2 linked regions of the Nothobranchius furzeri genome follow. The protein of the gene in region 1 interacts with the protein of each later gene in a pairwise test. Links are inferred from orthologs where the notes say so. Each region holds a gene or a part of one and is shown on either strand. Other genes may lie near its edges. The genes, in order: ppp1r12a and atxn10.

Region 1 (3,925 bases):
GTTGACAATACAAGGGTCTGTTTTTGCTTTTAAGGAGAATGGGCATTTATTCGCTTTCTATAAATCGGTTGCCTCTCTCCAACAGTTGGTTTCTCTCTGCTAGGAGTGTCTAATGCAAAAATCTGCATCATATGGTCATCTCCATGCCACATACAAAGCAAGTGACAGTCCATGAGTGAGACAAAATGGAACAGACACTGGCTGGGATTAAAACAGGAAAGATATACAATCGGGAGGCTTTATAAACTTTGGATTTACTGAAATAAAGTGAAGATCAAGGTTAAATTATCATCTAAGACGATCAGACAATAGATTCACTTGATGATCATCTTAATTTTGCAGCAGTTTTACATGAAATATTAAGAGGATGTCTGTAGAATAGTTTAGGATTTTTTATTAGGTATTTCCATCAACACACATGAATATTTGCGTCTTTGACTCATCAAAATACAGCCTCACAAGTGGGTGCGTAATAAAAATGAACTCGATTTGGGTTCAACAAGAACAGTTCATCGTGTTCTAAAGCTAGTTTATTGCAGGCCTAGTTTATAAGCAGCATAACATTTAGCTGTTTTTCCCAGAGTGAACATATCTGTCCCACCTTCAAGAGGACACGGGCACTACGAGCACCGGCCGATCGAATATTTAAGTGTTTTTATGTGATTATTTTAATCCAGGCCCCCTTTCTAAATAATTTTACGGATGAGGTCGCCGCAGTCTGATAACACTCCGAGCACATATGCTAGTGAACGTTGCTAAAGAGATTAGCAGCAAAACTGTTAGCTTGGCACGGATGGCGTTTCTGTCAAAACAACAAACTGCCAACCGCATACACATTGGTGTTCTGATACACGCCACAAAGACAAGAAATGTAAAAAAAGAAAGAAATAGAGACTAGTAAGAACGAGGCACGTCGTCCGTCACCTCGGCTAATGAATGAATCGAGTCAAAATCAACTCCATAACAGCCAGCGTCGGTTATCTTAGCATGCTAACAGCGCTAGCTCACAACTCACTACATTTTATTCTTCATTGTAAATACCACTGCGTTTATTAATTATGTCAGAAGAAATAATACATAAATGTCACTTAAAGACATCAATTAGAGTTAAAATAACAACTAATGTCCAATAACTTTGGTTTCACCCCCTGAGAGTCGTCGCTGCTGAGGGATTTATCAACAAAACGACTTTTACTGCTAGCCAGGTAATAGCCGGTGCTGTGTGCTGGGGGAAAACACTCTTTCACGAATGCACCCCATATAGTTAACATATATATTTTAAAAACAGTATAACTGATGGAACGTGGGGTCTTGAGGGTAGCAAAGTGTCAACATTCGGTTTGTTTCTTTAGAGTTTGCCATTCTACGCCAGTGGAAGTTCTTGCGGCACTACACCATCCGCTGGTGGAATCAACTGATCTGGGATTATGCTTCTACACATGACAGCTACTACTAAAGAGACTACTTAGGACACATTTTAAGTTTTAGATTTTACACAGCAATCACTGCACACGAGAAAACGTCATTACTAATTTGTCTAAAACCACTCCAGAAAAAAGACGACATAGCTGTGGGATTTTGAGCTACAACAGAACAGCAATTAGACTGCACCCAAAGGCTTTAATACGGATCGAAGCTAGTCTATAAAGGCTAAAAGAAATCAAACTAAAAAAACGAAGTTCTGTAATATGTGCACAGGCATTAAACCAGTTAATAGGGCTCAGGAAGGTGCTAATCTATTCTCAGCGTCGAAAAAGGCGAGTGTGCAAGGTAGGTAAACAGCGAAGTGAGAATGGCTTCAATTTGACAGGTGTTACAACACAGGAAGCAGTTACAGACGGTAAACTGATGCTACGGTGCAAATAGATAAAATGGCCAACAATGGCAATCAGACACGAACCTGGTGAAGAGCAGTGAGACCGTCTACATTGGCGTAGTTGATGTCAGCGCCCCGGTCAAGTAGACGGAGCACCTCCTCGGTATCGCCGCTTGAGCAGGCAGCCAGAAACACGGCGCCATCATCGAACTTCACCTTCGTCTTCTTCTTTTTCAAAACAGAAGGTTCCTGGTCCGTTTCCGAGCCCAGCCATTGCTTTAGCTGTTCATTCCTCTTCTGCTTGGCGTCCGCCATCTTCATCCCCCTCCTGACTCAGACTTCTTATCGTTGTCCGAGAGAGGGTATACTTTATAGTGCCACTATCCCACAACGCACTGGGGCGTGGGAAGAGGGGAGGGCTGTGGAGGAGGAGGAGGGGACACGGCGTGAAAGAGGACGTCTGGAAATTTCCGATAATCTCGCGAGAACTGGAGCTCAGGCGAGGCAGCATCAGATCAGACTGCAGCATAACGTCATTAGTTGGGATCTCTGGCAAACCGATGGGACATATAATATTTTATGTACATGATTTTTGAGGGATGTGACTAAAATTGAATCTTTACTATTCAAATATGTGTATAAAAATGAACCGAATGTAAAATAGAACTAGTTGTAACTGCAAATTCATTATGTAATTCAATTCAAGTTCATTTATATAGCGCCAAATCACGACAAGAGAAGTCTCAAGGCACTTCACACAGTAAACATTCCAGTTCAGGTCATCATGGACGTAATTTTGGGGGGGACAGGGGGGACATGTCCCCCCCACTTTTTCCAAAGTCAAGATTTGACCCCTGCACTTTTTACCATCCAAAAGCAATATTACGCTATATTAAATTGACACTGGTTGAGCTCTAGGACAAAGCGGAAAACAACTGTTTGTGTTGAAGCCTGTTTCCCATTAGAGCATAGTGTAAAGATACCCCCCCCCCTCCCGTGTCTCCCCCACTTCTAAAGTGAAAATTACGTCCATGCAGGTCATTAAGCCAATCAGTAACAAGCTTCCTATAAAAAGAAACCCAGCAAAGTGCACTGAGTCACTGACTAGTGTCAGAGTTTTGACAGCAATACTTTATTGTTTTTTAAGTTAAATTGTATAATAATAATAATAATAATAATAATAATAATAATAATAATAATAATTATAAATATTAGTAGTAGTAGTAGTAGAATATAAATATATATATATATATATATATATATATATATATATAATACATTTTGATTATCATATAAAAACAAACCTGAAACTAAACTACAACATATATTAAATCCATGTTTTTAAGTTTAAAAACTTTTTTTTATTTTATTTTATGTTTTTGCAGTGTCTGGTACGAAATATTGTTTAAACAACCCAGGGTCCAGACCAGGAAGCAGAGTCGTAGTTTAACCCACCCCTCTGCAGCTTCTGTACTGTTACCCACCCACTACCCCATAGAGACAGTGTCCTGTCCACGGCCAAAATCACACAGATTAAATATCAGGCTTAATAAAGCAAATCATGGAAATCTCATAAATATTAGAACAAATTCTACTGAGCAGAAAACTAGAAAAATTAAATGTGGGTTGTTGAACATTAGATCAATTTTTTCAAAGACTTTGTTAGTTAATGACTTGATTTGTGATAATCAGATCTCTTTGCTCTCTCTCTCACAGAATCCTGGCTGCAGCAAGAGGACTATGTTAGCTTAAATGAGTCGACTCCTTCAAATTATTTAAATCATCATATTGCTCAAAGTACAGGGCGAGGAGGAGGAGTAGCAACCATTTTTCCGAGGAGGAGTAGCAACCATTTTTCATTCAGACTTATTAATCAGTCCCTTACCACTTAATAGCTACAGTTCGTTTGAACATCTTATTCTTAGTTTTCTTAAACCAGATTGCAAAACTGTAAAACCACTCTTGTTTGTAGTTTTATATCATCCACCAGGCCCTTATTCTGAGCTTTTGGATCAGATCTCTGATTTTTTATCAGATTTGGTGCTAAATACTGATAAGGTCATTGTAGTGGGGGATTTTAATATTCATGTGGACATTGAAAATGATATC
Region 2 (3,825 bases), about 13 Mb from region 1:
CACCTACGTCCAGTCCAGGTCCGGCTGGGTCTGACACAGCTCCATCACCCTGAGAGCCAGCTTGATGTTCTGAGGCTGGGACAGATTCTCCACCTTGGCTTCATCCAGACACGTGTGGAGAACCATGGAGGCGTAGGAGACCACTTTCTCATCATCGGCACTGAGCAGCTGCCTGTTCACACATATAAGTTTGCTCCGTTCAAGGAAGGATGCTTGGATTCATACAGTCAATAAGTACAGTGGGGCAAAAAAGTATTTAGTCAGCCACCGATTGTGCAAGTTCTCCCACTTAAAATGATGACAGAGGTCAGTAATTTACATCATAGGTACACTTCAACTGTGAGAGACAGAATGTGAAAAAAAATCCATGAATTCACATGGCAGGATTTTTAAAGAATTTATTTGTAAATCAGGGTGGAAAATAAGTATTTGGTCACTTCAAACAAGGAAAATATGTGGCTCTCACAGACCTGTAACGTCTTCTTTAAAAAGCTTTTCTGTCCTCCACTCATTACCTGTATTAATGGCACCTGTTTGAACTCATTATCTGTATAAAAGACACCTGTCCACAGCCTCAAACAGTCAGACTCCAAACTCCATTATGGCCAAGACCAAAGAGCTTTCGAAGGACACCAGGAAAAGAATTGTAGACCTGCACCAGACTGGGAAGAGTGAATCTACAATAGGCAAGCAGCTTGGTGTGAAATAATCAACTGTGGGAGCAATTATCAGAAAATAGAAGACATACAAGACCACTGATAATCTCCCTCGATCTGGGGCTCCACGCAAGATCTCATCCCGTGGGGTCAAAATGATCATGAGAATGGTGAGCAAGAATCCCAGAACCACACGGGGGGACCTGGTGAATGACCTGCAGAGAGCTAGGACCACAGTAACAAAGGTCACCATCAGTAACACACTACAACGGCAGTTAATCAAATCCTGCAGTGCCAGACGTGTTCCGCTGCTGAAGCCAGTGCATGTCCAGGCACGTCTGAAGTTTGCCAGAGAGCACATGGATGATACAGCAGAGGATTGGGAGAATGTCATGTGGTCAGATGAAACCAAAGTAGAACTTTTTGGTATAAACTCAACTCGTCGTGTTTGGAGGAAGAAGAATACTGAGTTGCATCCCAAGAACACCATACCTACTGTGAAGCATGGGGGTGGGAACATCATGCTTTGGGGCTGTTTTTCTGCTAAGGGGACAGGACGACTGATCCGTGTTAAGGACAGAATGAATGGGGCCATGTATCATGAGATTCTGAGCCAAAACCTCCTTCCATCAGTGAGAGCTTTGAAGATGAAATGTGGCTGGGTCTTGACCAAATACTTATTGTCCACCCTGATTTACAAATAAATTCTTTAAAAATCCTGCCATGTGAATTCATGGATTTTTTTTCACATTCTGTCTCTCACAGTTGAAGTGTACCTATGATGAAAATTGCTGACCTCTGTCATCATTTTAAGTGGGAGAACTTGCACAATCGGTGGCTGACTAAATACTTTTTTGCCCCACTGTAGGTCACCATGAAATGTCTCCTACTGCTGCGACGAAGACACACGACACTTACAGGAGGAGATCAGGGAAGCTCAGTTGCCAAATTTCATCTTTACTCATCTGGTTTCCAACAGCCAAGTTCCCAAGGAACTGGATTCCACATCGAAGAGCTGAACCATAGAAGATAAACATTTAGATGGATGGAATAAAGACGGTTTTGTCACTAAAATGCATTCGTTTAATCAGCTGCTTAAATTTAAACTCACGTTCATGAGTGGAATCTTTGTTTCCAATGTCTTCTGTCTGAAGGTAACTCAGAAGTTTAAGAGAAACATCGATGAAACCTAGTTCCCTGAAAATGAGGTAACACAGGGTTTTCTTGTTAATGTACAATTATCAGAAATAGTCATTAGCGCTTTGGGCTTCCTGACAGGGTTGCGGAAGGCGCTTTATAAATAAAGCTTTGATTGATTGATTGATTGATTGATTGATTGATTGATTGATTGATTGATTGATTAAAAATGCTTTTTTTTTCAATGAACCACAGTCTGTAGAACTAAACAAAAGTGAACAATTACCCTGAACGCATTTGGTAAATAAATGAAATATAAAAAAAAATGAAATAAAGAAAGTAAAGTTTACATTATTATCACAATTCAATTCAAATATACTTTATTAATCCCAGAGGGAAATCAGAGTTTTAGTACACACAATTCAGAGATCAGACATACATAGCCAAAGACACATGACAACAATTGGTGACTGTGGTCATTCGCAACCCTGAGTCGCGCTACCTTAATAAAGATCAGAGGGTTACATGAGGATTGGTTCAGGTGGAGGGAAAAAAAAGGCACTTCAGAGTTACCCTCCAGAGGGAGGGCAGCTTTGCTATGCAAAAAAAAAACCACCTCAGACAGAGATGCAACAGACTTCAGACATAAGACAACATAACTGTCCACTAGGTGGGGTGGTGGGTTTGGGACTCTCCACACTTCAGTGCCTGCAGCCATGATAAGCAGCACACATCATCTCAGTCTGGACAGGGGAGGGAGGTCGTTGGGATTTGGAGGGCACAGTGACTCCTGGAACGATTTGGCAGCTTTCACAGCCCGCAGTCCCACCCAGGCTGGGATAGGAGACAGATGCCATAGTGACGGCAGCATTCCACATTTCTTCTGAGGGGGGATTATTCGTTGCAGCCTCACAGGCTCAAGGGCACTAGATTCAGATAAGAAATTGTTTGGGGGCCAGACAGAAATAATTTCTTCTCTGTCTTAAGGTTCAGCTGGTCCTCAACCTCTCAAAATCCAATAATGGCGTAAATTAATCTATCCCAATCCATGCTGATTCGTCCACTCGATCCTTGATTGCATCCATCTTTTGTGCCAATGCATGAATCTCAGCCAAAGTTCCAAGCTTTAGACTCATCTCGACAATAATATGAGTCTGTGAATTCACAGCGCGGTGTAATCCATCCCTGAGCTCGGGGAGAGCGCCAATATTTCTTGACAGAGGGGTGGACATTAACTTCAAAACTAACCGGCCAGCCAGGCCGGTAACTCTGAATATTTACCGGCCCCGCCAAGAATCTACCGGCCCCGCTGGTCAGCTGCCAAAACGAGTCAAAATAACAACTGAACCATTTTAAATGTAATAAACCTTCATTTTGTACACATTCACAAACATAATAACGTATTCAAGTTTGAATTTGTTTGTTCCCTCAACAACTCGATTTTGTCGTCGCATACTTCCGGCATACAACGCAGTACATCACCAACTCCGCTTTGCTGTACTCGAACCATTGGCTGTGTTCTAGATGAGCCAGTTCTGCGCAGATTAGACCAACGGTGATCGGCGAGCAGTGCATGCCGGTTAGATTTGTGTCCGACTTGACGCCGACTTGCTCTGACGTCATGCATGCGTAGGCAACGATAACCTTGTGAGATCAAGGCGGCCGCAGATTTTGGAGCAAGGCGCTGCAGTTGCTCTCCCTCGGCTGCAAAACCTAGGGGATGACGGGAAATGCCTGGCTCTCACCTGATCTAAGATCTGATTGGTTCATATTTTGATCCAAACATCCGGTGGTAGAACATGAAATGTTAGTTGGTCACATGTATTCTGTAAATCATGTTAAGTTGATGATGAAAACTATATAGGCCATAAAGAGAAATGTGTTTTGTTTTCTTTTGTCACGTTTCCTATGAGCACACTAAAACTGCAGCTGATAACCTTTACTTATTGCAGTCATGTCTTCATATACAATATATGATATCCACAAGCACGTGAGGATGTGTTTCAGCTGCTAACAAGCACCAGAATTAAAA

The links.
Region 2: the proteins of ppp1r12a (region 1) and atxn10 interact in binary tests that used the Homo sapiens proteins (3 or more experiments, as listed by UniProt). The link is inferred for Nothobranchius furzeri from reciprocal best matches to the Homo sapiens genes PPP1R12A and ATXN10.

What each region holds. Positions count from the first base shown.
Region 1 is NC_091741.1:40,818,727-40,822,651, forward strand, and holds the start of ppp1r12a (protein phosphatase 1 regulatory subunit 12A), read right to left. Parts: upstream 2,239-3,925; 5' UTR 2,138-2,238; coding exon 1,901-2,137; intron 1-1,900. UniProt on the Homo sapiens protein: Key regulator of protein phosphatase 1C (PPP1C). Mediates binding to myosin. As part of the PPP1C complex, involved in dephosphorylation of PLK1. Capable of inhibiting HIF1AN-dependent suppression of HIF1A activity.
Region 2 is NC_091741.1:53,728,181-53,732,005, forward strand, and holds part of atxn10 (ataxin-10), read right to left. Parts: intron 1,854-3,825; coding exon 1,768-1,853; intron 1,672-1,767; coding exon 1,575-1,671; intron 173-1,574; coding exon 8-172; intron 1-7. UniProt on the Homo sapiens protein: May play a role in the regulation of cytokinesis. May play a role in signaling by stimulating protein glycosylation. Induces neuritogenesis by activating the Ras-MAP kinase pathway and is necessary for the survival of cerebellar neurons.